4 linked regions of the Astyanax mexicanus genome follow. The protein of the gene in region 1 interacts with the protein of each later gene in a pairwise test. Links are inferred from orthologs where the notes say so. Each region holds a gene or a part of one and is shown in the gene's direction. Other genes may lie near its edges. The genes, in order: tacc1, lsm7, ckap5 and memo1.

Region 1 (7,225 bases):
ATATATGTGCCCACAAATGTTTAACTAACTCAAAATATTTGAGTATTGTTTAGAAATATCCAATTTGATGTAAAACAGACTTAAATCATTTGAGGTTAAACAATGTATGCGCTTACAGTGTGGGAAAAAAATCTATATTCATATGTATTTATTAGTTCTGTCAACATCAACACGTTAACCCAAGCAATCAATCCGGAAACTTTTAATACGTTTGCCAAATTTTGCCGCAGCTTCCCCCCAGATTTACCACCAATCCAGCATGTATGTGAGCAGCACTTAAGCCTCACCTATTTTTCAGTTCTTACTGGTTTTCCAGTCTAAGCTGCAGTACAGGAAAGGAGTAGAGGTGATTTCCATATCTGAGTGATAAAGGTACAATAAAAGAAACAGTGAGTGTAACTGAACTGAAAGGGTCGAAGAGAGGTTGATGTAAATGATTTAGTCATAGAGTTTTTTTCGGCATTCTAATCGTACATTAGTAAGTGTACATAAGGTTCCATTAGTTTGTTAGCCACATTAGCCTTAGGGCAAAAAAAATTAGGCAAACTGTCCCTTTAAGAAAAATGCTATGTTTGTGTTTATAAATGCAGTGTGGGATGATGATAATGAGCTAAATTTGTTGTATAATGGTTCTGATTGGACTGTTTTTCTCATTTTCCTGCTCCTCTGGTTTTCCCTGGGTTAACGGTCTCTATGAGCAGTTCTGGCCCGAGGCCCGGCTGAGCTCTGACGTGGAACTGATCTGAGTTTAGTTACATAAGCGAATCAAGGCTCCTGCAGACCTCCTCTGTGTTCCTAACCCGTCTGAGCAGAAATGTTCTGATGTTCTGATTCTGTCTCTTTCTGCAGCTACAGGAACAATCACATTACAGCAATCTCTGTTTATATAACCCAGCATCTGACGACAATAAAAATATCATTTATAATTATAAATTAGATTTCATAATTGAAATATATATATTCTTATTCTTATAATTTTTTTCTAATATTCTTCTTCTTCTACTTGTTATTATTATTGTTATTATTATTATTATTATTATTATTAATGTTAACAGCTACAAGAATCATAATCGGACTAATAACACTATCAAGAATGTCTGTAAATGTAACTCCTGTATCACCTGTCACACAAAGCAAATATTAGTAATAATATAGTAATAATGGTTAAAATAACCCAGCACCTTTTAAATATACAGATACACAGAACAACAACAATAATATGTTATATATATGAATAATATGAATAATCAGAATACTAATAATATTAAGAATCTCAGTTTGTGTAACACTACACCTGTCTACAAAAACTATAACAACAATAATGTAAATAAATACATATTATTTAATATAACTAACGTAATAATTATTTCAGTAAGACTTTGTGTTTAAACAACCCAGCATGTTTATACAGCTTTTTTAATAAATTGTAAAAGCAATTAAATGAAGATCATGAGGGCGTCTTTACAAGGGCAACATTTGTACATTTTCGACAGTCTAATGTAGATATTAATTAGAATCCACAATTATTTTTCACAGAACTTCTCCTTTAAAGTCTGAGAAACAGACTTATTAAAGTTTTCATGTAAAAATAATGGCATTTAAACAGATACAGATGGTATAGAAGCATTTAATAGTAAGCAGTAAAGATTTATTACTTTTCAGTGTTTTTTTAGTTTCAGTATTCCTTTAAAACAAAAAAAGACTTATTTAATAAAGTGATGATTCAGACTATCATGAAGATCAAAGTTGTGAAGCGGTCAGAAATAAGTGAAACAGAGCAGTAGAGCAGATAATAAACGTTGCTGAAGCTGCTCAGATGTTCTCCTGCTGCCCTTTAGCGTGTGATGGTATTGTTTGTGGTGGATAGCATAGCAACACACACACACACATATGCACACACACACACACACTTTATTTTTAGAGTGTTTATGGAGTGGAGAATGTGGTCTGCTTTGCTGGGGCACTTTAGAGAATCCACAAAGAATAGCAGCTCTAATACATCCTCCACACCAGCGGGTTAGTAAGAACTGGGCCAGATGGTAATAGTGTTATGAAACTCCTAGTCTATTGCTGCACCTTAAACTCCTCTGGCTTTAAAGGTGTCCTTCTACTAAAATCCACTTTTTCTTGTTCTTTGTGAAATACAGTTGGTCTCTCTAAATTGTATATGATGCTGCACATGAAACTCTTCCTTAACTTTTGTTGTGTGCAGTAGCTAGTAAAAGAAAATATTCAGAAAAGATCAGTTGATCAGAAAAAGCATTGTGTCTACTCAACCCGTGATTTAGTATTCATGGCCCCGCCCACTTTGGATTAGTAAGTGTTTTAAACTCAGATTAAAGTTATGTTGTTGGGGGTGTTTGGTTTCGGATGGTTGTGGCATCACCATGGATCAAACCAGTAACCTTAATGATGTTTTTATCTTTTTAATGGAAATACATCAAATGCTAGGCTAGGCTAACTAGCTAGGAGTAAGTGTTTATGAAATAAGTCAGAAAAAGAGAATGACTCAGAACAGTGAATCGTTCAGCTCATGGAATCTTCAGCTGTCTGATTCGTCTCTCTGCAACATTGAGGAGCTGTTTTTAGCATGTTGTGCTAACTAGCATCTCAATGCTAATGATCCACTATTGCTGGACTGTAGCACCTGCCTGTGTGTGTGGCTGTTTGTGTGTGTGTGTGTGTGTGAATAGTGTGTTGTGTGTATATTGTATGTGTGTGTGTGTGTGTGAATAGTGTGTTGTGTGAGAGTGTGTATATTGTGTGTGTGTGAGGGAGGTTTGGGAGTAGGGAGGAGGATGTTTCTCAGGCAGGGCGCCAGGGCGTGCTGAACAGGTGTGTGGGAGCGAAAGTGTTAGGACAGGTTTTTCAGGTGTGTGTGTGTGTGTGTGTGTGTGTAATATGGTGCAGGCCTTGCTGGTGCTGAGGGCAGTGAGACGGTTAAATCGGGCTGCATTCCACAGCCGCTCCACTGTTACCATGCACACACATTATACACACACAGTGTGTCTCTCTAACTTCCTCTCTTTCTTTCTCTCTGCTTATTGCGTCTCCCTTTTTTCTGTCTCTCTCTCACTAGGTCTGTCTCTTACTTTTTGAAAATTTATCTCTCTCAATAGTACACTCTTTTAACTACACCTATTGCTAATATCTCTCACTCTCTCTATTTTTCTTTCACTAGTACTGTCTCTCCAATTCTCTCTTATAGCTAATATCTCTTTATCTTTTTCTCTCACTAGTTATCTCTCTCTTTCTTTCACTAGTATTGTCTCTCTCAATCTCACTTCTCGCTAATATCTGTCTCTCACTAGTACTCTCTTTTAACTAGAACTCTCACTTCTTGCAAGTACCTCTCTTTCACTAGTACTGTCTCTCTCTTCCACTAGTAGTGTCTCTTACTCTTGTTTTCACTCTTCCTCTTCCTCTTAATTGTTGCTAATATCTCACTCTCATTAGTACTCTCTCTTTAACTAGTACTCTCACTTATTGTGCATATATATTTTTTCCACACACTTGTTGCTAATAACTCTCTTACTAGTGCTCTCTCACTATAAGTAGCTCAGTATTATTGCTAATATCTCTTTTCCTACACAAATGTTACATTTTTCTCTTTTTTTCTGAACTTACTTAGAATGTTTGTATTTAACTTGTGTAATTTTTGTTAGTGTATTGGGAATGTTACTTTAACATTTCCATAATGGTAGTATTCATCTAGCTGAGAAAGTTAAGTGATAAACATTCTAATAATATAAACCATTATTATTTCACGCATTTTCACAACATTTCTGAGCATTACTTCTGTAACGTAACAGGCTAATCTTTCTGAAACCTTTTCAAAACGTTGATAAACGTTCTTATATCGTTCTCTGTTAGCTCGGACTCTTTCTTATCTTTTTTTAAGTAGTACTCTCTCTCATTAGAAAAGCAGAAGAGAGGTAAACAAACAGAGCGAGCCAGAGACAGCGAGAGAGAGAGAAAGAGCACATGCTGTCTGATGGAATCTACCATTCTGACTGAGTGTGGGTGGAGGGATGTTTAACCCTAAAGTCTAAATCCAGCCTTTTCTCTTAAAGTGCAGAACTTCCCCTCTTTCCTCCTAAAACCCCCCTTCAAAATAGTCCTGCCTCTTAGGGGGAGGAGGGGGCGACCAGCTGATCACTGCTGAGGCATTCAGAGCTAGAAAGAGAGAGAGAGAGAGAGAGACCAACTCAGAGAGAGAGAGTTCAGTCTGAGCCAGAAAGAAAGAGAGATAGAGAGAGAGAGACTAACTCACAGAGAGAGAGAGAGAGAGAGTTCAGTTTGAGCCAGAAAAAGAGAGAGAGAAACTCAGGGAGAGGAGGAGGGGGAGAGAGAGAGAGAGAGAGAGAGAGAGAGAGAGGAAGCCTCCCTCGCTCGCTGCAGTAGATTGAGGAAGCAGCTCCAGTTGAGAAGTTGCTGCACGAGGTGAAGGAGGAAGAGGCTGTGAGCGCGCGCCATGAGCCCCAGCCTGAGGACCTGAGGAGCTGCCAGCTGCTGAAAACATCTGGAGGAGGGTCAAGAGACACTGTGGCACTGTGGGAAAGAGAGCGAGAGAGAGTCGGTGTCTCAGACTGGGTGGATCAGACTGGACTGTTTTTATCCACACAGCAGAGGAGTGTGTGTGTGTGCTGAGCTGAATTGGAGCAGTGTGTGTGTGAGTGTGTTATTGAGCGGCGATGTCGTGGCTGTCGCCCGTTCAGTGGGCTAAGTGGACGTGGTCGGCTGTTAGGGGAGCGGGTGAGGAAGAGGATGGAGAGATGCGCGAGGAAGAGGAGGATTGTCCGCAAGAGGGAGACGAGGAAGAGGAGAAATCCCAGAGCTACAGGCAAGACCAGCAAACTACAGACAAACAACAACAACTACAGGGTTTAACAAAAACTACAAGGTGTATCTGTAAACTACTGGATTTTACTAAAAACATACAGAATTGAACCACAAACTACAGAATTCAAACAAAAACTTCAGGGTCTTTCCAGAAACTACAGCATCTCACTAAAAAACTACAGGGTCTATGCAGAAACTACAGTATCTAACAAAAAAACTACAGCATCTTACTAAAAAATGCAGGGTCTTTCCAGAAACTACAGCATCTCAGTTAAAACTACAGGGTCTATCCAGAAACTATAGTATTTAACTAAAAACTACAGGGTCTATCCAGAAACTACATAATCTAACAAAAAAAGACAGGGTCTATCCAGAAACTACAGTATCTAACAAAAAACTACAGGGTCTATCCAGAAACTACAGTATCTAACAAAAAACTACAGGGTCTATCCAGAAACGACATCATCTAACTAAAAACTACAGGGTCTATCCAGAAACTACATCATCTAACTAAAAACTACAGCATCTTACTAAAAACTACAGGGTCTTTCCAGAAACTACAGCATCTCAGTTAAAACTACAGGGTCTTTCCAGAAACTACAGTATCTAACTAAAAACTACAGGATCTATCCAGAAACTACAGAATCTAGCTAAAAACTACAGGGTCTAATCTGAGTCTACAAGACCTAACTGGAACTACATAATTTATGTTAAACTACAGGATTTAAAATTACATGGTCTAACCAATAACTACAGCCTTGAACTACAAACTTCAGGGTTTAACCGAAAACAATGCCATTTACTCACAAACTACAAACATGATAATTAACTACAGACTTTTGCTCAGATCTATTTACTGGATGGGAATAAAACAACAGGATTTAACAATTTAACAATTGACAGTGTTTAACTACAAACTACTGGGTTTTAGTTAAACTACGTGCTGTATGTTTACAAACATGATGTTTTGGTCCAGATGGATGGATGAATGGAAGGATATATGGATGGGTGGATGAATGAATTGATGGATAAATGGGTGAGTGGATAGATGTATAGATGGATAATTGGATGGATTACTGCTGGACACATGGATAAATGTTTTGAAAAAAGGAAGGAAAAAAGGATAAATTGATAGAAAGATGGCTGGGTGGAAGGAATGAAAGAAGGAAGGAAGAATGGATTGATATATAGATGGAAGATAGATAGATGGGTGTATAGAAGGATGATGTTATTAATAATAAACGTGTGTGAATAATAGTTATGTAACTGAAGACGAGCTGTGTGTGTGTGTGTGTTTGTGTAGGGATATTTATATGTATGCTTTGGCGCACAGAGTGTGTGTGTGTGTGTTCCTACAGATGTCTGTGGGTGCCCTGGTAACGGTTGGCAGAAGTCACGTGTTAGTGCATGAATTTGTGTGTGTGTAAATGTGTGTGTGTGTGTGTGTGTGTGTGTGATGAGTGCATGGGTATTTTTAGATTTATGTGTATTATATCCCCCTGAGTTTTACTCACAGCAGCTGTTTCTATTACTGTATCATTAACATCGGTATATGTAAATGTGCTTTGTTTCAATTGGATGCCTTGTATTGTTCTAAATCTGCAAAAAACTTAACTAATGCTGCTGTAGGCTGAATGGGTGGAGCTATAAACTGCTGTAGGCTGAATGGGTGGAGCTATAAACTGCTGTAGGCTGAATAGGTGGAGCTATTAACTGCTATAGGCTGAATGGGTGGAGCTATAAACTGCTGTAGGCTGAATGGGTGGAGCTATAAACTGCTATAGGCTGAGTGGGTGGAGCTATAAACTGCTATAGGCTAAATGGGTGGGGCTAAAAGGCTATAGGCTAAATATTTAGGCCTCTCTCTTTCTGTCTTTTTTTCTCTTTCTTTATATTGTGCCTTTCTTTATCTTTTTCTTTCTTTCCTTTTCTCCTTATATTTTGAATATCTCTCTCTCTATCTTCCTCTCTCCGTCTCTCACTTTCTCTATCTTCTCAGTGTTGTGTCTGTATGTATGTGTGACGTTGCAGCTGCAGTTTGGCTGTTTACTCTGCTTTAACTGTCGCCTCACACACAGTGTGTGTGTGTTTTGTTGACATCCTGTCTTTGTGGTGTGTGTGAACATTCCTTTTAGGAGAGCTGCTTTCTTCCCTTGTGTGTGAAAAGAAACACACACACACACACACACACACACACACAGACAATAGATCTAGTAGCACTTCTTTAAACGGGAGGGAACTGAGAGACACAATTAGAAAAGCAAAAACACACACACACACTGTGTCTCTCTCTCTGCTGGAAGTGAGTCAGAGCTGCTCAGAAACAAACACAGCTTAGACCAGTCATCCTGTGGGAAGGCTAGTGTGTGTGAGCGAGAGTGTG
Region 2 (6,563 bases), on another chromosome or scaffold:
GTATGTCCAGGCCCTGCAGCTCAGCAACTGTTCAACAACTTATTCAAATAATATAATTATTTTAGATTATTTTATTTTAGATTTGTCTTTAGAGTAAAAAGGCAGCCCTTAAAAATTACAAAAGAAACATTATAAAGTCATTTAAATGCATGTAAATTGTGTACCTAGGCTGCCCAATTCACTTTTATTTATCAATCTATGAACATGGTAAGGTTGGGAGAACTCACCTATGCATTGTTCAATGCAATGATAGATTCTTTATACATTCAGAACACACATAAATGAAGACAATATTGTGAGAACTTATGATTTTCTGACCTTCACTGTGGCTAAACAAGTGGCCAAGTATTTCTTTACTTCGACGTCCGAGCCAGGCAGCAGTTTTAGAGACAGATGGGTGAGGTGCTTGAACGCATTGGTCTCCACTATATTAAGATTTGCAGGGCTGTGGTTCAATGCAGAGGAGGTGGAGGAAAGCTGTAGCAGAAACCTGAAATTAAAAATGAGTATGAGAATGAGCATACAGATAGTGAGTTTTACACTCTTTTCTACCATTGTTTCATAAAAAATGTTTATTGTGTCAGTTATTTTGTTATTTTGGCACAGTTTTACTTATTCCTCATATTATGAAAGACAGAGAGACAGGAACATCGGACATCTGTACCTTGGGTTCTCTCTGTCCTGCTCGGAGATACACTGGTCTAATAGGTCTATAAACTTCTGAGGAAATGAAGTGAAGTCTATAAGCAGACCCTGCTGGACTTTTAAACTGTGGGGAGAGTGAAGAATCAAAAACAGCAGTCATTAACATTTTAGGAGATCATGTTTAAGGAAGTCAACAAAATGTGAAATTTAACAAAAAAATTTAACTGGTGTACTGTAGATGTTAAAAGCAGAGGGTCAAGGACCTGTACACCAGTGTCAATATACTCGAGTGAAGTCAACTCAAGTGTATTATTCTATTGACAATACAGTTTTATTACATCCAATTAATTGTAAGATTAAGATACAGTAGATAGAAATCTACTGTACATTGCTTAAAAAATACTTTATATATAATTACATCTCCACTTATGTCTCTCATAAAATCCCACTGAAGTATCAGAACTAAGTGGGGAATCATTTACCCTGACACAGGCTGGTGTATGTGAATATACAAAAGTATTCATAAAACTGTAACATCAAAAATCAAACAACCTTGCCAAAGACACAATATCATACCTTTGGAAATCCTCCTCTGATATTACAAGGTTATACAGAAAGTAGAGATCAGCATCGTCAGTCAACCTCACCACTAGATCCTAGAAAACAAAACAACATTTCAGCTTCAGTACTGTAGTTTATAAAACATTGGATAATATATACGTTTACTTAAAGATATTCCTTAAAAACTAAAGTAGGACCACCCTGATGTCTGAAATAATCTTTCTGCCTTCCTTATTATTGAAGGAGTTATTGACTGATACTGATGGATGCTCTACCCTCAGGTTCTCCTGTCACCTGTTCAGCCAGACTGATGGAAGTTTATGGAAGTCAGGTTTTCATGTCACCCACCAAAGATCAGCTGCCCACAGCCCAGTTTATGCCACCTTCCTCCAGATTATGCCACCTGGACTCGTTACTCACTGTCCACTACCAAGCACATCAAAATATATATGAACTCTAACTAGAATTCTGGATAGTGGCTATTCACCTCAAAATGCTACCACATTTCTGTAAAGCTGCTTTGAGACTTTAGTTGTAAAAGATGCATAATAAATATTTTTTGATCTGATTTTTTCAGATTTTATTCATCATCATAATTATTCTTATAGATTGTAAATATATAAATAAATGATAACATGCTGTAATGATTTAGCTATTAACCAACATTTTGTCGTGTTACCTGTTCTTGCTATATATTCTGTATCTATTTGCTACTGTTTTTAGAAACTTTTTCTAATGACTTTCTCAGTCTGTGTAAACTAACATACAGCTCTGTTTTTTACCATCTGGGCTAGGGGTGTGCCGTACGCAATAATATCGCCATCATTTTTGAATATCATGAACAATTTTATACCCTGAAATATCGTGCCACATAACCCACCCGTAATTGTCAAATTTATCAAAAGAAAAATTCACACTGTTCCCATTTCCCCATTATATATCTACCGGTATCATTCATTTTACTTTAATCCTGGAAATATAGAGAGCAGTATTCGTATCATGACATTCTGCATCATTGACAAATCTGATAAAATTCTTGTATATTTTAATATCTCAGTTAGGGGTGTGCCATATCATACTGTATGTGTTGTATGTACTGTATTGTATTTAATTTTGTTGCAGTAGTGTATTCTTTAATATTTTTTTTTATTCAGGTGTTTTGTCATATCGCCAAGAGTATCCTTATCATTTTAGATTTTTACCTGGAACCCAATTAAGTTTCATTATAGAAAACACAGATTACTACATTTTGAACACAACTTAATATAACATAAAGGAATAAGCAAACACAGAAACACATTGTAGTCTGTAGCTACAGTATTGTACATCACAGTGCACCAATCAATGCCTCATTGCCAACCCATCTAAGTACCTACCAAACTAAACTAGCTAATTGAAGAATAAATGGAAGGTACGTTTTAATCTCTCACCTTTTTGTGGATGGGGTTTGAAGTAAGGTGCAGTTCAGTACTGACACGAATAAACGACCGCCTGAAAAAAAAGTCAGTTAAAGAGTCAACAATAAAACACCCACTTCAGAAAACAGGAGAACACTACAGCAACACAGCAGTACATTCACAATAATATATTGATATTAGCTACCATGTAAAATGAATAACTCTAATGTAGCTTAGGTCCATCTGTTTAACAGTATAATGCTGATCATTTTAACTCAGTACTGCAGTTTTATTTGGTGTATTATTTTAGCTTGTTTGTTAGCATGCCAACCTAGCTACCGCCGGCTAGCTATGTTAGGCTACGATTAGCATAGCATCAAGAAAAGTGGACATCTGTTACCTGTCGTCGCAATCTTTACACTTCACTTGGACCTGTAAAGTCTTGTTAAAGAGTAATTCCGTCATGTCTAGTTCATAATCCGACAATTAATCACCGAAATTCGTCCGTTTCAGCTTTAATTCTGACCCCAGATTTGCAAGCGAGCACCGAATTTCGAGTTTGGCGCTTCGCCTCCCGCTGTAGTCGGAAATAATGAGCAAGGGTGCGTTCCAATACGCGCACTTGTGACCTTACTAGGGCGGATAGCTAGTGCTAATATGCGCGCTACAGTTACAGTATTAGGTGTAGGCGCCCACGTTAGATTCTATAATATTAGCTTAATGGATGATATATATCTTTTTTCCATTAAAATACAAGATTATAACCAGAGTTACCATATTTACCGGACTTTAAGTAGACTTTTAAGATTAGTTGGTTTCACAGGTGAAAGTGGTTTCAGTGCAGTTTTTAATGTGACATCTATTTGCGAGATCTATTTTAGGGCTGTGTGGATATGTCAATCTGACCTCTTCAAACTGATTTTTAACTCAGATTTACTGTTAATGTGTAGATGGATATTTTTTGAAGACAGCCAAATCTGATCTGAATAAAAAAAAAAACATCTGAATTGATCAATAAATATTGTAATATGTAACCTAATTGTGGACTCTTTGTATATGAGATTGTGATAGGGTTTTATAAATGTATAGTATCAGGTGCTAGCTATGTTTGCTTGTATTAGTCCATTAATACTTCTTAGTAAACTAGCAGTTTAGCATTGTGGAGTACACTTGGCTCCTTACCATAAATATTTATATAATATCTGAATAATATTTGGTGCAATGCTAATAATAGCCAGTCACGTGTAAATCTACTTCTACCCTTATTGGTGTATTTTGCTTGGGAAAGGCAAACAATTATTGTATATTATATGATTTTGGCTTGCCCACTTGTGCATGGTAATATCATCTACGAAAACAACAACAAAATTACATTTAGTGTACTAGTGTATATAACCCATAAATGTGACAATTGGGACGCCCCCGGGGACTCTTCTCTTAATTCTCTCTCTTAATTTCTCTTAATTTTCTCCTTGATTTTGCCTTGTTTTCAGGACCGTAGCTCTCTGTTATTGGTGGTTATTTATCTCAGATTAAAATGTTGTTTTTAATGTTATGTAAAGTCTGTATATGTGTAGTGAAGACTGAAGGACGCCGCCTGTGATTGGTGGAGGAGCCGGGGTCAAAGGGAGGATCAGCGAGGAGGCGCAGAGGAGAGTGAAGATGGCGGTGAGTATGAATGCTGCTGCTGCTGGAGGAATATTCTGCTCATTATTCTATGGAGTTTCTGTTCTGGAAATATGATAAAGAAACCTCGCAGCGAGCAGTTATCAAAACGCCAGCGGTTTTCTTACTGCAGTATGAACAAAAGCTGGTTATATATAGGCTGATAATGAAGCGAAGTTAGTTCCAGTCCTAACTAGCAGGAGGCTAACTAGGTTAGCTGAGGAGTTCCAGACATAACCTAAATAGGTTAACTAGTGTAGGGTTATCTAGCTAGTCGGCCTGACCCAAGTTCTCAGAATATATATTCACTATAAAAATGTTAGCGAGGTTAAAGTTGTCTTTTTATAATATATCTAGTTCTTTTGGTATAGACCATTCCACCTTAAATGGCGGCATCGAATGTAACTGATGAACAGTTTAAGGTGGAATGGACTAAATAAAAAGCTATTTCAGCCTCTAACAGCAAGAAAATGTTTCATAAACTGACACAATCGATCAATTAATATTAACAAAAAAATAATTGTAAAAAGTAATACAACTTTTTTCTGGAATTCGGAACAAATGTCAGTAGTTTATAGAATAAAACAACAATGTTAATTTAACTTAAGCATATACCTATAAATAGCAAAATCAGAGAAACTGATTCAGAAACTGAAGTGTACTTAAGCCCCCCCCCCCCCTTTTTATAGATGTCATGCAACGATTTGTAGTTCAGTTTTATTTAGAAAAAAGATTATAAATGTTCTTATTAGGAGTCTATGAAAAAACATTTAATCGCCTACTTTGTGCCGTTCCAGTTATTCTCTCACTACTTATTAAGTTTTGTTGTGGTTCATTTACAGGATAAAGAGAAGAAAAAGAAGGAGAGCATATTCGACTTGTCAAAATACATTGACAAACCAATCAGAGTAAAATTCCAGGGTGGTCGTGAGGGTAAGGAACATTATTTCTAGTGTAATGAGCGTAACACTTATTCTTGTGCCCTTTTTTTAAGCATTGTTTTTTTTTTTTTTCCACACAGCCAGTGGTGTCCTAAAGGGGTTTGATCCTCTGTTAAACTTGGTGTTGGATGGCACAATTGAATACATGCGTGGTAAGTATCAGAAAGCCATTAACGTCTTGTATTTCTCTCTGAATGCCTATGCATCTCGCATGTCGTTTCCTTACACAGTCAGGTAGGTTATTTAAGGATAGACAACAGAGTTTGTCACTAACATTGTGTTAGCAGCAGTGTAAAAAGACTGAGAATTGTTCTGTCTGAGAATGTTTATGCCAAAAAATTGTACAACTAATACAACTATTAAGTTTTATTAATACTTAAGTATAATAGTTATCTAAAATCTGTCACTCCATTACTCAGATCCTGATGACCAGTACAAGCTGACGGAAGACACCAGACAGCTCGGCCTGGTGGTCTGTCGGGGGACAGCAGTCGTGCTGATCTGCCCGCAGGACGGCATGGAGGCTATTCCCAACCCCTTCATACAGCAGCAGGATGGCTAATACACACTCAACCCTGAACACAGTCTCACACACTGTACGCTTTGGGATTATGTGACTGTTTTCTAAAAAGGTGTTTGGTTAAGGAAAATGAGTTTCATATTTCAGTTACACCCAGTATCATGGATCCGGACGTCATTTAGTCATTCAGAGATGTAACATACTACATTTACACCGCTGGTTTTGTTTTGGCTTCTGTCAGCTATTTTAGTTTTGTCTTGTTTCTAAATACGGATCTGAATGATTGATTAAACTGTGTTGAGTTATGTTCACTCTTTATGTCTGTTATGTTTTTTAGTAATTGTTTTATTATTAAAATTGGACATTCATAAAATGTTTGGAGTTAGCCATTTCTCTTTTAATGTTTTTTTTTTTTTTAATCTTTAAACAATTTATCGAGCAGTTATTTTTTTACTAAATATAAAGGCCACTTAATTTTCGGATTAAAGAGAATAAAAAATAATAAAAACTAAATGAGGATCTACTAGCAACACAAAATGATGTGAAATGAACTCAATTAGCATCATTTGTACTTGTTTAGTTTACATTCCTATTTATATTAAGAGCAATAGTTTATAACAAATTAAAAACATTTGAGTTTTTTCAGCCTATACTGCATCTGTAATGTAAAGTCTAATATTGTGGACCGTATGCGTTTCCCAAAAGAAATTCCCACTAGTTTAGAACATGTATATCAGTTGCTTGAGCACCTGCCCATTAGCATCTGTGGATACAGATATCCTCCAGAAATGGTAATGTGACATATTGCAGCTGCCTGTGTTGGTTTTGTTTTAC
Region 3 (7,704 bases), on another chromosome or scaffold:
TATACCTGTAACTCTACCTCTTCACTACTTTACAACTGATGCTCTCAAACACTTTATTAAGAGGCAGAAAATTCAGGTAGCTTAATTAACTCTTGACGAGTTCAGCACAGCTGTTAACTGAAAGCCTGAATTTCAGGTGACTCTACCTCATAAAGCTGACTGAGAAAATCCAGCCAACATGTTCAAATCTGCCATCTAAGCAAGAGGTGCTACTTTAGAATCTAAAATATAAAAACATATTCTGGTTTGATTAACACTTTTTTGGTTACTAAATAATTGCATATGTTTTTCTTTATAAGTTTAAAGACCTTAGTATTAATCTACAATGCAGAATAAATAAATAAATGCTGTTATTTGTACAGGTAGACTCACTATTCTGCAAAATAGCGCACGATGCCGAACTGAATGTACTCCTCTCTGTGCTCCAGCAGCTGCGTGACCGCATCACTCAGATAGAACAGGGCATTAGTCTCGGCTGAAACACACAGCGTTAATACACGGATTACTGCTTTAAAACCGCGCCTGCAGTTAAATACTGCGATTCTGCGTTTAGTGTAATAATAAAAAAGACATAACATACCTAAATAGTCGTCTGTTGTGAGGGTAAACCGCTCTGTGTTCATTTTCATCGTCTCCTGGATACAGCCATACTGCAGCGTGCAGCTTCTTCCCACCTGTATTCCGGCAGGCCCCGCCCTGCACTACAGGGATTGGCTAGTGGTTCACACAGCTTTCAGCTGTTAAAATAAAAATAAAACTATTTTATAATTGAATGTACAAATTAAAACTGTTTATTTTGCTCCAAAAAGACTAGAAAAAACTAGAATATTTATTTATTAATGTTGTTATTCAGAATTTTAAAAGATCGTTCTAGATATTTTCCAATAAAGTGGATTACAGGGTAAATATAAATATAATGATGTTATTTTGGGTTTTAACTGTAATATCTCTTCTGTCAGCTTCACTTAGAATCTGATCCTTTTTGGGAAATATTATCTGCACATCTTCAGTTTCATCAGTTTTTCTTGTTGAATTTAATATATTTATCGAGTCTCTTAATTGTCTTAGCAATAAAAAAGATGTATCCACTATAAAGTGTATAAAGAAAAAAATACCACAATATTTTTCAAATATATAATCAATTCTGACATTACAACATCACAACTTTCTGTAAACAGAGAGCACAATTTAAAGTGATGCACACGCTATTGTTTTCATTAACATAATTTCAACTTTACATACAGCTTTTATATTAAACCCGCTGTAAACATGACCTCCTTGTATTTCAGTTAAGGAAAAGTGTAAAAATATAAATCACTGTCACATAAAAGAGTTATTTGCAGGTTTCTGACAAAAGCAGAAGCCTTTATACTAAAATTCACTCTGGCAACTTTGACATGTAAAGGTGTACAATTGTAGGAGGTGTGTTTGTCTAAAAAAAAAAAAACAAATAAAAACTTTTTTGTAATTTGTATTTTTTGTCATTTCATCTTTATCATTACTGAAGAGTCAACACATAGTACGTCTTTACGTCTTTATTAATATGATGAGAAATAATTTCCCTTTAAAGTATAATATCATAAAAACTGTATGTGCATAGCATACATAAAGGAAAGAGCTCCAAAGTTTAAACAAATAGGAAAATTTAACGTAAGGCAAACAAAAAGAAAATCTAAATCCAATTAATATTCTATTACTACTTATTAAAAAGGATTATTTGTTAATTAATTTAAAAGAAAAGTAATATAAAATAATACACAGAAGGTAGAAGGTGTTTAAAAACTCGAATTATGAACTATAGTCCAAATATACTAATACATCTTTAGTACATGCAAGAAACTGCAAAACAGGCCACGTTATACTCTATTTCAGTCGTCTCAAAAAAATCGAAGGTATTGACATTTCAGCCTAGCAACGTGGCCAAGAAAATTTACACAAAAGGTCTATTGTAGTTTATTAATATATGTTTTTGTTCTAGTTATTTTAAAATATAGACCGATAACTATGGATATATTTCACATTCTGCCTACTAGCCAATCCCAGTGCAGGGCGGGGCTTGGTAGAAAACGGGTGGGAAAGAGAGTTCGTGACTGCAGAGGCAGAGTCATGAGTCCGGCAGCGCGATCTAGTGGTGAATTCAGGGAATGAGCTTTAATAGCATTTCATAATCTGTAGTTAAAGCTGAAGCCTAAAGACTGCATATGAAAATTCTGAGGTTATCACATATTTATTTTATAGAATGATTGGTTCATTCATCTTAGAAAAATATTATACGCAATTTAACTGTTTTTTCTACTTAAATGAATGTGAATAATGAAACAAAATTAAGCAAAATGTGTAGATGCACACGTTAAAAAGAATAAATGCTGCACAATTTAGTTTCCCTATGTCTAAGTTAGAAATTGTTTAATGGTTTTTTTTCACACGTTTATTATTTAATGAAGTTTAGTAGTATTTCATGAGAATAAAATATCAGTGCTGATAGAAGACAAGGACTACATAAAATATAAAATGTATAGTTATAGTACATTTATAACATTCAATTAGTCAAATTTACAAAAAAGTACATAAAAAACAGGAGGTAGACTACTTGTCAGCATTATTTAAACAATTATTTGGATAATTTATAATGTACAGGACCAGAGCTAGGAAAACTGCAGGGACAAAATGCCAATTTTATATACCATCTTCAAGTAACAGAATAGAATAATTTTAAGATAATTCTGAGTATGCATCAGCTTAAATCTTGAATCTACACAGACAGAGAGAGAGAGAAAGAGAGAGAGTATTATATCACTATAATCGATATAATTATTATAATTACTATAATAACAATTCAGTGGGTTTTTTGTATTTTAAAATTTCTGCATTGTACATTAATACTAAAGTCATCGAAATCATGAAGAGAAACATATACAGGTGCTGGTCAACGAATTAGAATAATTTGAAATAGTGCAATCATGAAATTCTTTGAATGCATTTTTTGTGCAGAAAGCAAATCAGGTGTTCACCGCACCTGTCCTACTCGTTAGACTAATCACAGAACTCGTTACCTGGAAAAAAATTTGCTCAGCTGAGCTTTCCAAAAGGCCCATTTAGGCCATTTAACTGTGACACTGTTGTTTTATTGAATTAGAATAATGGAGAAACTGTTTCATTGAATTAGAATAATTTTTATTATAATTACAATCATCACTTTCTCAGTATTTTGTGGCTGCCCCCTTGGCTTGTATGACTGCCTGAAGTCTCCGCGGCATCGATTTGACCGGCTTGTCGCACGTTTCCGCACTCACAGCTTCCCAGGCAGTGGCGATGTTCTGCTTCAGTTGGTCCAGCGTAGTAGGCTTTCTGTCGCGAATTTTCCGCTTGACGATGGCCCAAAGGTTTTCAATGACATTGAGGTCAGGCGAGTTGGCCGGCCATGCCAAAACTTCAAGCTGTTTTTTAGTGAACCAATCTTTGGTCGACTTTGCCGCATGAGCCGGTGCAAGATCCTGTTGAAATATGAAGTCTTCTTCGCCAAACTGTTCCTCAACAGTTGGAATTAGGAACGTTTCCAGAACATCTTGATATACGGCAGCATTGACAGTCTTCTTGAGGAAGCAGAGTTTCCCTACACCTCGAGCGGACATGCATCCCCAGACCATAACGCTCTGGGGAAACTTGACGGATCTTTTCACGCACTCGTGGTTGTAGGTTTCGCCACCACGACGCCAGACACGAGGACCTTGGTCACCGAAGGAGATGCAGAAGCGTGATTCGTCACTGAAGACCACTTTCTGCCAGTCTTCAGCAGTCCACTCGCCGTGTTCTTTGGCCCACTTCAGCCGTTTCTCCATTTGTTTCTTGTTCAGCATCGGTTTTACTGCTGGAACGCGAGATTTGAAGCCGAGTTCGCGCAGACGACGGTAAGTGGTTGATCTGGAGACGTCAGCGCCGGTCTGCTTGTTCCACAAGTCGGTGAGCTCGGAAGTGGACTTGAACCGGTTGCTGACTGCGATCTTTCTCAGCTGCTTGTTGTCGCGAGCAGAAGTTTTTCGGACGCCGGAACAGTTGGTGCGCTTGCTGCAGTTTTTCTTGAGAGCTTTGCAGACGGAAGACTGGCTGATGCCGAGCTGCTCAGCAATTTTAGTTTGGGTCAAGCCTTGTTGGCGAAGGGCTTGAATTTGAGCCACTATTCCGGTTGAGAGGTCGCGCTGCTTACCCATGATTGATTTTACAACTTAGAAATTCTACTCAACCCTGACTTTATACTGCACAGTGAACACTCTTCACAGAAAACAAAAATTCGAGCATTTATTCTAATTCAATGAAACGGTTTCTCCATTATTCTAATTCAATAAAACAACAGTGTCACAGTTAAATGGCCTAAATGGGCCTTTTGGAAAGCTCAGCTGAGCAAATTTTTTTCCAGGTAACGAGTTCTGTGATTAGTCTAACGAGTAGGACAGGTGCGGTGAACACCTGATTTGCTTCCTGCACAAAAAATGCATTCAAAGAATTTCATGATTGCACTATTTCAAATTATTCTAATTCGTTGACCAGCACCTGTAGAATTACAATTTACAATTAAGGAAATATGTAGTATGAAAAATATAATGTTAAAGTGCTGAGTAAATAAAACAAATAAGATTGATCTACTAAAAGCATGAAGTTCAGAGCCCCAGGGGTCAGGGTTGTGTCTCCGGCCTGCTCCCGCCGGCGCCTGCGCGCTGTCTGCGGCTCCTCCCTCCCATTCTCCGCCCTTGGAGGCGTTTCAAAAGGCCGGAGAAGAGAATGAGCACAGCGGCTCTGGTAGCTCCAGCACAGCGCCCTGCCTTCCCCAGCCTACTGCAGGTAACCCAGTGCTCCCTCATCTCTCTGCAGCCGATCTGAAAACAGCATAGGTGTGTCCGTGTTATCTGGGCGGAAAGCATCGCAGGGCGGCGGCGTGTGTCCGCGCTGTTCCGCTGGGTGTGTTTCCAGGGCCTGTTGTGTGTGTGTGTGTGTGTACATGTAGATATGAGTGTGTGTTGCGATTCTTTCAGTCTAACAATAGCTAGTGTGTATGTGTCGCATGTAGTTTCCACGTCACGGACTGTAATGCGGTCTCTTGTGTGAAATAATCCGTTTTAATTCATTTTTTTAAATCGTAGTGTTTGGAGTTAGACCTGAAATGTCCGTTTTGCCTCCGCTGTGGTTGCTATGTGGAGGCTAAGCTAAGCTAGCCTCGTACACTGCGTATTTACACTGGCCTGTGAGGAGCTATGTTTCATCAGTCAGACGTTTTAAAACATATTTAACTAGCTGGCTGTCTAGCTAACATGCTAACCAAGTACATTTCCTGCTTTTCTCTGATTAATTTGGTGAGTACTCTGAATAACTAATTAAGTTTATAACCTGGTTAAGCTTGTATAGGAGCTTTAATGCATAACGTTACATAGTTAGCTCGCTAGGTTTGCTAGATAGCTAGCTAAGCTAGCTACGTGTAATATCTAACGTCAAATAACGGACAGAGCTAACTAAGTTAGCTACACAACTGTCTGTACTTTTCATCTATGTGTGCATATGTTGCGTTTAAAGCTATGACTGCCTTAATTTAAAGCTAGTAATAATATATAGATAACATCTGCAGTGTGTTTTTAAGTAGAGTTAAAATAGTCTTCAATCATCCCTTTAAAACAGGACTTTATATGTTGTCAGGTATTGTGCCAGTAGCCTAACCTAACTAAGCTCGCTATCTAAGTCACAAGTATGGGGGAATTTTGTTTAAAAAGCTTAAGCTTAACGTCTGCGTGTATCTTTTATTTGGTACGCTGCTTGTGTGCAGACAGGCTGGGTCAGTAGTTCATATTCTGTATGTTTTGGCTGTCACACATTGGTCTAACGGAGGTCAGTTTGTTTACATGCTAACTAGCTAGCTGGCTAACCTAACTAGCTAACCTAACCTATATGCCTGGCTCATTCTTGTGATATAAAACAAATATAGGTTACCCAGCTAGCTGTACACCTGAATCTGTTATGAAGTCAATAACGTTATTTTTCAGATGGGTGATACTGAGCATATAGTTACAGTACCAGTCAATTTTCTACATTTTCTGTATATTAATATTAAGATATGAAAACAAATAAAATGCACATTAAGCGAAGTAGTAAATTTTCTGCTTTTCTCTGTCTAACGTTAATTCGTTTTTTAGAGTAAGTACTCTGAATAACTTACTAGCTAGTAGGGCTGGGCAATATTATATTGTATACAATATATCGTGACACAGAAATATCATGATATAAAAAAAAAACATATCATGATAATAGGACTGTTCTGTCTTAAAATTTGTCTATTATTTACTGTGAAGCTTTAGGTGTATTTATTGTATAGTTGTTTTAGTTTGCAGTTTATATGCATGCACTAAATATTCTGCAATATTATTTGCTGCATTATATTATTTTATGCTATATTATTTATTCTGCCACATTATGATTATTCAGTTATACTATTATACTATATTCCTGAAATGAATTAATTATTTTAGTTTTTCTATATCGCCAAGTATATTGTTATCGCAAAAATACCCTGAAATATCATGATATTATTTTAGAGCCATATCGCTTTATAACCTAGCTAACGTAAGCTTATTTAGAAGCTAGCGTTATAATGCATACATATTTAGTTAGCTAGCAAGCTAAACTACATAGGTTACCTTTCTGTACATTTAATCTACCTGTGCATATGTTGCGTTTAAAACTAGTCAAATATAACACCTGCAGTATAAGTAGAGGATTTAGGTACGTTTAAAATAACCCACTGTCCTCTCTGTGAAACTGGACTTATGATATATGCTATCCTATAGTTTCCAAGTAGGTACAAGTATCGAATTTTATGTTACAACACGATTAACATGGCTAAAGAGGCTTTTTGTTGGAAAAGTGTCCTATGAAAGCAACGTATGCATATATCTATATCTTATTTGTTATACTGCTTATGTGCAATTATGGTCATATCTGTTGGCTGTCATACATTGTTCTGGACAAAAGGTCAGTTTGTTTATATGCCATCCAACATTCCTCATTATATAAAACAATTAATTTAAAGCAATACACCTGATAATATTTTATGATGTCAATATTTGGGTGATACTGAGCAAATACAGTACCAGTCAAAGGTTTGGAGAGATCATTTCTCAATCAGTGTATTTTTTATGATCTTATTTTTACATTGTAGATTAATATTAAATACATAAAATGTTTAATTAATTAAGTGACTTATTTAAATATGTACCTGACCTAAACCCAACTGAGATGAGCTGGAAAAGATGCAACTATTGTTCCGCACCTCCAGAAACTCCTTCAAGAAGCTGAGAGAACTATCCCAGGTGACTCTCCCTCATGAAGACACTGAGATTAAAATATCAAGAGTGTGCAGATCTGTCCTCAAAGATAAATGTGGCTACTTAGAACAATCTAAAGTATAAAACGTATGTTCTGCTTTAATACTTTGTTTACAAAATATTTCCACATGTGTTCCTGTATAGCTTTAATGTCTTCTTTTGACTGGTACTGTACATCATCATGATATTTTCTAAATAATCAGCGTATCAGGTAAGGTTAAATGTGCTATTTAACAAAAACAGTGAATCTCTCAGTTCCTGTGTGGTACTTTTTCATGCTAGACTTACAAACTTACAAAGGTTCCTGAAAAATTAATATTTCTGTTGGACTGTTTTGTTC
Region 4 (7,679 bases), on another chromosome or scaffold:
TTTTAAGAATGGGTGGAAAGGAGAGACTAAAGGAGGAGGTAGAGCAGGAGAGACTAAAGGAGATGGAGGAGGAGAGACTACAGGAGGTAGAGGAGGAGAGACTGGAGGAGGTAGAGCAGGAGATACAGGAGGAGATGGAGGAGCAGAGACTACAGGAGGTAGAGGAGGAGAGGCTGGAGGAGGTAGAGCAGGAGAGACTAAAGGAGATGGAGGAGCAGAGACGGAGGTAGAGCAGGAGAGACTAAAGGAGATGGAGGAGCAGAGACGGCGGTAGAGCAGGAAAGACAGGAGGAGGTAGAGCAGGAGAGACAAAAGGAGATGGAGGAGCAGAGACTAGAGGAGGTAGAGCAGGAGAGACTAAATGAGATGGAGGAGCAGAGACGGAGGTAGAGCAGGAGAGACAGGAGGAGGTAGAACAGGAGAGACTAAAGGAGATGGAGGAGGAGAGACTACAGGAGGTAGAGGAGGAGAGGCTAGAGGAGATGGAGGAGCAGAGACTAGAGGAGGTAGAGCAGGAGAGGCTGGAGTAGGTAGAGCAGCAGAGACAGGAGGAGATGGAGGAGCAGAGACTAGAGGAGGTAGAGCAGGAGAGACAGGAGGAAATGGAGGAGCATAGACTAGAGGAGGTAGAGCAGGAGAGACTAAAGGAGATGGAGGAGCAGAGACGGAGGTAGAGCAGGAGAGACACAACATGTTAACATTCACAGTGAGAGGGGAAAAGTATGTGAACCCCTAGACTAATGCCTTTTCTAAGAGCTAATTGGCCCTATAAAAAACACACACCATGTTTGAGTTTGCTGTTCTTAAGAAACATTGCTTGATGTGAATCATGCCTAGCTCAAAAGAGCTCTCAGAAGACCTACGTTTAATAATTATTGACTTGCATGAAGCTGGAAAGGGTTACAAAAGTATCTCTAAAAGCCTTGATGTTCATGTGTCCATGGTAAGAGAGACTGTCTACAAATGGAGAAAGTTCAGCATTGTTGCTACTCTCCCTAGGCGTGGTAAAGTCCTGTAAAGATGACTGCAAGAGCACAGCGCAGAATGATCAGTGAGGTGTGGAAGAATCATAGAGTGTCAGCTGAGGACTTACAGAAACCTCTGCCACATGCTAACATTTTTGTTGACAAATCTACAATAAGGAAAACATTAAACAAGAATGGAGTTCATGGGAGGACATCACAGAGGAAGCCACTGCTGTCCAAAAAAAAACATTGCTGCACATTTGAAGTTTGCAAAAGAGCACCTGAATGTTCCAAAGCAGTACTGGCTAAATATACTGTGGACAGATGAAACCAAAATTGAGTTGTTTGGAAGGAAAACACAGTGCTATGTGTGGAGAAAAAAGGCACAGCACACCATCATCAAAACCTCATCGCAACTGTGAAACATGGTGGAGGGGCATCATGGTTTGGGGCTGCTTTGCTGCCTCAGGGTCTGGACAGATTGCCGTCATCAGTGGAAAAAATAATTTTCAAGTTTACCAAGACATTTTGCAGGAAAACCTAAGATCATCTGTCCCCCAACTGAAGCTCAACTGAGGATGGATGATGCAACAGAACAACGACAGAAGAAAATACGCCTTCTGGAGAGTCCTGACCTCCTCAACCCAATTGAGATGCTGTGGCATCAAGACCTCAATAGAGCGATTCTCACCAGATATCCCAAGAATATTATAGCTGAACTGAAACAGTTCAGTAAAGAGGAATGCTCCAAAATTCCTTCTGACCGTTCTGCAGGTCTGATCTGTAACTACAGGAAACGTTTGGTTGAGGTTTTTGGTGCCAAAGGAGGATCAACCAGTTATTAAATTCAAAGATTCACATACTCCCCCCCCCTCACTGTGAATGTTAACATGTGTTCAATAAAACCATGCAAACATATAGTTTTTTGTGTGGTATTAGTTTATGCAGACTGTTTGTCAATTGTTGTGACTTAGATGAAGATCAGAAAACATTTATTGACCAATTTATGCAGAAATCCGAGTAATCCCAAAGGGTCCACATACTTTTTCTTGCAACTGTACATACTGCCCCAGCGATATTTGTGTTCTGCCACTGTCTGACACAAATCCTCAAGCAGGTTGGTGGCACTCCATCTCTCCCTTGACTTCATAACTCCTGGCACAACACAGTATTTTTCAGGAAGTGTTCTGGCTGAAGTTGCTCTCTAAATGAGGACTTGTTTCCACGAGCATCGAGAACAATGTCAGGAATCGGTAAGAAAGCTGAAGTTGTGCCAGGGCTGAATACTTCATCAAGACAACGCCCCTGAATACGTCCCAAAATACACTAGGCAGAGGAACAAGTACAAAGTTCTGGAATGATCATCTCAGTCCCCAGACCTGAATATTATTGAACATCTGTGATTTAAAGTGGGCTGTTCGTGATCAGATTGATTACATTTATTACTTTAGAGCCCTGTACATAATAATACTTTACTTATACAAGAGAATATATAATTCCATTAATATAACACAAACAAGAATCAGTGACTGAGTTTACATACAAGAAAGCCAGTTACAATACATTTATCAAATGATCTTTTAGATATCTTGTCACATCTCTGTAGGAGAGAGAGACTAAAGGAGGTAGAGCAGGAGAGACTAAAGGAGATGGAGGAAGAGAGACTACAGGAGGTAGAGGAGGAGAGGCTGGAGGAGGTAGAGCAGGAGAGACTAAAGGAGATGGAGGAGCAGAGACTAGAGGAGGTAGAGCAGGAGAGACAGGAGGAAATGGAGGAGCAGAGACTAGAGGACGTAGAGCAGGAGAGACTAAAGGAGATGGAGGAGCAGAGACGGAGGTAGAGCAGGAGAGACTAAAGGAGAAGGAGCAGAGACTACAGGAGGTACAGCAGGAGAGACAGGAGGCAAATGCTCATGCAAAATGTTTGTCAGAGACAACATCCAATCAGAACGGATTTAGTTTTGTGGAAGGTAGGGACCAGTTAAAAAGAGATCCAATCACCACTACTATAGCATAGGTGGAGAGGCGGGACAAGCAGGGTAGTCAACCCTGCTAATCATCAACAATAAATTAAATAAACACTTAAAATAGATCACTCTGTGTTTAATACATCTATATAATATATGTGTTTCACTTTTTGAACTGAATTACTGAAATAAAGTAACTTTTTAATCATGTTCTTTTTTAGATGCACTTTTTAAAGCACTGAATTTCTATTAGAGTAGTGAAAATCATACGTATCAACTTCCAGCAGCAACATTACACAACCCTGGAGTTTTTAGAAGACAATAAACATGGTATTAGTTCCATCTACAGGCCACAGTGCGTAATTACCTGAATTTTCCCCTCACATTAATTATCTCGAGATTATTCTCTCGGGATTTAGAGTATTGTCGATGACTAACACATTTTTAACTGTTTATTATGTAATTCGGTATGTGTCTCTTAACTGTTTTCATTCCTTTAATTTTAAACTACAGAGTAGAAAATACATATAATAAAGAAAAACATTGAATGAGAAGGTGTGTCCCAACTTTTGACTCGTGCTTTATATCATATATTTGTATGTATTAATGTCAACTGGAGGGTAATACAAAATAAAGAAAGAGCTGGTTTATGGAAAGCCTGCTCACCCACAACACCTTATTAACCACCTGGGATATAATAGCAGCTATCTAGCAATGAATTGTCAGCAACTTAGCAACCACTTGATAAACCATATCAACAACTAATTAAAATTAATTAACTAATTAAAATCTTCTTTTGCATGATTATATATATATATATACGTATATATATATATATATATATATATATATATATACGTATATATATATATATATATATATATATACATATATATATATATATACACATATATGGTACAAATAAATATAAATGTATATAAATGTATACATATAAATTACATTTATACCAATGGTATATAACAGCTTATACCAGTTGTAAGCTGTTAACCAACTAATACATTTTTTTGTTTTATTTTTACAGTATATATTTTCTATATTCAGTGTAAATGTAAATGTAATTTATGTTACAACATATATATTTTTTACAATATACATTTTTTATTTTAACTAATATAATATATATATATATATATATATATATATATTAAAAATAAAAACAAAAACATGTTTTGTTTTTAATTTACCTATAGTTAACAATAAATGTATGTTATAAAAAACAATTGTATGTTGTAACAAAATAACAAAATGCATTTACATTTACACTGATATTAAATATATATATATATATATATATATATATATATTAAAAATAAAAAATATATATAGCCTTTTATATTCAATAAACTGTAAATGTTAAGTTAATTGTCAGGCCTTTATTTACAATATACAAATTTTTCGTTTTTTTAACAATATATAATTTGTTTAAAGTTTCTTTTTGTTAGTTTTTACAATATTTTTTATATTTTATTACTATTATTATTTATTTTATTTTTTTTACTTAAAACTTGTGGTAGTTCACTGCTATACTGCTAATCTTTTAACACTTATGGGTGTTCTAAAACTTTTGACTGGTAGTGTAGACCATATATTTGTGTATTAATGTGAATTAAAAAAAAAAATAAAAATAAAAAACAAACAGTCTCTGGGTGTGTTTCCCTTTAACTGAAACCGACCAATCAGAATTGCTGGCTGTGTGGAACGGCAGGACGGAAGCCGAATTGAGACACACCGACCCGTCCGAGTACAGGCTCGCGCGCCGCTCCGAGCTTTGTTCTTCTTCAGAGGCGGATAGGGACGGTCTGTGCGGAGTCCTGCGATGATCGCGTGATTTCAGGGGTTTGGTTTGAACATATGTAGAGCAGCAGATCCGCCCCGGCTCTAACACTCCGCTCCCCGCCGCTATTGATTGATTGGTTGATTAATTGATTGGGTTTCTTCCCCACCGATCAGAATTCCATCTGACCAAGATAGGCGGCTCGGGCACCAAGATGTCGAACCGAATGGTGTGCAGAGAAGCCAGCCACGCCGGCAGCTGGTACACCGCCTCAGGTACAGCCGCAGCCGGGGAGCGGGGGGCTGGCCACGCGTGCCCGCGGCCCGAGCTTCGGGGAGCTAGCCTGGCTCTTCGGCCTGTTATTGCTGGCGTCGAGCGGGCCGGTGTTGCGTCGGTTTGTGCTAACATGCCGAAACGTGCTTCCTCAGCGTTACATCTATATTTTTAGGCTATTAAAAAAAACAAGGAGCAGAGTATTAGAATATTTTCCTGTAGGCTGTAATCTACGGAGCCCGGGAGGGGCCGTGGATAAAAAAAATAATTAAATCGAGTGAACGATGTAGCAGTTCGTGCTCACGTTTTCTTTAATTCGAGTGAACGATTTGCAATTCGTGCTCACGATTTCTTTAATTGGTGCTCACGATTTCTGTAATTCGTGCGCACGATTTCTGTAATTCGAGTGAACGATTTCTGTAATTCCTGCTCACGTTTTTATGCAATAAGACAATAAGCTGGGAGGGAAAGGAGCATTTTCTCTCTTGATCTGTTACAGGGGTGCAGTGATGATAATCAGTTATCTACCTTTATAACCTGCTGATATTAATGCACTAGTGTTACAGTTAGATGTACAGTACAGTGAGCAGATTTTGCCTGGTGGTGGAATCTCTACAGCGCGTGGGGGAGAGCCGTCCGCGGCACGGGTTCCCTGGCCGCGAGCGCAGGTCTTCACGGAGCTTATTTACCAACAATATAGACAAATATAGTCAATTCCAGTCATGATTAAAGGAAACAAACATTACTAATGCAGGATAACTGTGTGTTATTAAAACCAGATCAAAACAAAGTTATAATGCAATGTGGAACTGTTTATAATTTCTTATTTTCAACAATAGTATACACTCTAAGAAATATAAGTACAGATTTGTACTTAAAAGAGTACAAAGCTTGTCGCTGGGGCTGTACCTTATATTGAGGCACAAAAAAGTACCTTTCAGTAAAAGTCCTTTTTTGTACCCATGGTTTTTGTGGCAGTAAAGATCATAAAGATTATAAACATTATCATCAACTAAATATGGCTCAAAAACTTGATGATACAAAATTGTCTGGCTTTCAAATAAAAACTGTGCAATTTAAATATATATTGTTCATTAGTACAGTGATGCAGAATACTGAATGTACCCTTTGGCTGGTTAAATGGTACAAATTTGTACTTATTACTGTTAGAAATGACTTTGTACTTCAGAGGGAACAAATCTGACCCTGTAAAGACCAATATTGTACCTTTGAGGGTACAATTATAAAGAGTGTACCTTCGAGTACAAAAAAGTACTCATATCGTACCTCTGTTTTTTAGAGTGTAACGTAAAGAAGTATAATTATATAAATATACAGCTATAAGACTTAGGTCCAAATGTACACTGTAAAAGTTAATAAAGATAATACAAAATTAATGCAAGGTGTGACAGTTGTCTATGAATGGCTCATATAAGAGCTGCTTTAAATATGTAACACTATATAAAATCAAAATAGCTGGTCTAAAATACTATTAATACAATGTATTAAGATATTTAGTAAATAGGCATTTCATATAATAATTTGGATCAATTTGATAATTTATTCCAATATGTTTCCTAAAATAATTAAGTTTCTATATCTGATGAAATGTCCTGAATATCTGCTTATTCTCAAATCACAGTGTCCTGCCCAGAAACATGCCACAAGCTTCAAATAAAAAATATAATAATTATAAACTTCTTAAATGTATATTTTCTGAATTATGTGTTTATTTATTATACAAATTATTAAAATATAGATTAAATCTATCATAAAAGTAATAATGATGTAACCAGATTTAAGAAGGTGTGCATTTCCTTGGAGGCTGGCTGAATGTTATTTAGAAATTAATAAACACATTTGCACATTGCATTATAACTTTGTTTTGATCTGGTTTTAATAACACACAGTTGTCCTGCATCAGTAAAATGTTTGTTTCCTTTATTCATGACTGGAATTGACTGTATTTGTCTACATTGTTGGTAAATAAGCTCCGTGAAGACCTGCGCGCGCGGCAGGTGTCTGGCGGCGGGGGAACCGATGCCGCGGACGGCTCTCCCCCACGCGCTGTAGAGATTCCACCACCAGGCAAAATCTGCTCACTGTACTGTACATCTAACTGTAACACTAGTGCATTAATAACAGCAGGTTATAAAGGTAGATAACTGATTATCATTACTGCACCCCTGTAACAGATCAAGAGAGAAAATGCTCCTTTCCCTCCGAGCTTCTTGTCTTATTGCGCATAAAAACGTGAGCACGAATTACAGAAATCGTTCACTCGAATTAAAATAAAACGTGAGCACGAATAGCAAAACGTGAGCACGATTTAGAGAAAACGTGAGCACGAATAGCAAATCGTGAGCACGATTTAAAGAAAACGTGAGCACGAATAGCAAAACGTGAGCACGATTTAAAGAAAACGTGAGCACGAATAGCAAATCGTGAGCACGATTTAATTATTTTTTTTATCCACGGCCCCTCCGGGGCTCCGTAGTAATCAACATGTCAGAAAATAAATAATATCAGAAAACATTAATGATCTAGTATTATATATAAAAGAAATACTAAAATAAATAAAAGCTAGCCAGGCTAACAGTGTTTATTATTACAGTAGTAAGCACTGCAGTTTTTAAACCCCTATTTACAGGCCGGTCACAATAATTGCATTATCGACTT

What was found.
Region 2: the proteins of tacc1 (region 1) and lsm7 interact in binary tests that used the Homo sapiens proteins (3 or more experiments, as listed by UniProt). The link is inferred for Astyanax mexicanus from reciprocal best matches to the Homo sapiens genes TACC1 and LSM7.
Region 3: the proteins of tacc1 (region 1) and ckap5 interact in binary tests that used the Homo sapiens proteins (3 or more experiments, as listed by UniProt). The link is inferred for Astyanax mexicanus from reciprocal best matches to the Homo sapiens genes TACC1 and CKAP5.
Region 4: the proteins of tacc1 (region 1) and memo1 interact in binary tests that used the Homo sapiens proteins (3 or more experiments, as listed by UniProt). The two-hybrid records come from large-scale screens. The link is inferred for Astyanax mexicanus from reciprocal best matches to the Homo sapiens genes TACC1 and MEMO1.

What each region holds. Positions count from the first base shown.
Region 1 is NC_064427.1:21,873,855-21,881,079, reverse strand, and holds the start of tacc1 (transforming acidic coiled-coil-containing protein 1), read left to right. Parts: upstream 1-4,201; 5' UTR 4,202-4,694; coding exon 4,695-4,843; intron 4,844-7,225. UniProt on the Homo sapiens protein: Involved in transcription regulation induced by nuclear receptors, including in T3 thyroid hormone and all-trans retinoic acid pathways. Might promote the nuclear localization of the receptors.
Region 2 is NC_064423.1:26,828,624-26,835,186, forward strand, and holds lsm7 (U6 snRNA-associated Sm-like protein LSm7), read left to right. Parts: upstream 1-4,146; 5' UTR 4,147-4,265; coding exon 4,266-4,271; intron 4,272-5,110; coding exon 5,111-5,201; intron 5,202-5,289; coding exon 5,290-5,361; intron 5,362-5,628; coding exon 5,629-5,771; 3' UTR 5,772-6,040; downstream 6,041-6,563. Other genes in the region: sass6 (spindle assembly abnormal protein 6 homolog), read right to left, coding at 319-490, 665-769, 1,222-1,301, 2,637-2,697, 3,004-3,068. UniProt on the Homo sapiens protein: Plays a role in pre-mRNA splicing as component of the U4/U6-U5 tri-snRNP complex that is involved in spliceosome assembly, and as component of the precatalytic spliceosome (spliceosome B complex).
Region 3 is NC_064417.1:7,117,997-7,125,700, forward strand, and holds the start of ckap5 (cytoskeleton-associated protein 5), read left to right. Parts: upstream 1-4,701; 5' UTR 4,702-4,836; intron 4,837-5,077; exon of another isoform or gene 5,078-5,345; intron 5,346-7,704. Other genes in the region: cstpp1 (centriolar satellite-associated tubulin polyglutamylase complex regulator 1), read right to left, coding at 373-475, 581-629. UniProt on the Homo sapiens protein: Binds to the plus end of microtubules and regulates microtubule dynamics and microtubule organization. Acts as a processive microtubule polymerase. Promotes cytoplasmic microtubule nucleation and elongation. Plays a major role in organizing spindle poles.
Region 4 is NC_064432.1:14,305,215-14,312,893, reverse strand, and holds the start of memo1 (protein MEMO1), read left to right. Parts: upstream 1-4,676; 5' UTR 4,677-4,941; coding exon 4,942-5,002; intron 5,003-7,679. UniProt on the Homo sapiens protein: May control cell migration by relaying extracellular chemotactic signals to the microtubule cytoskeleton. Mediator of ERBB2 signaling.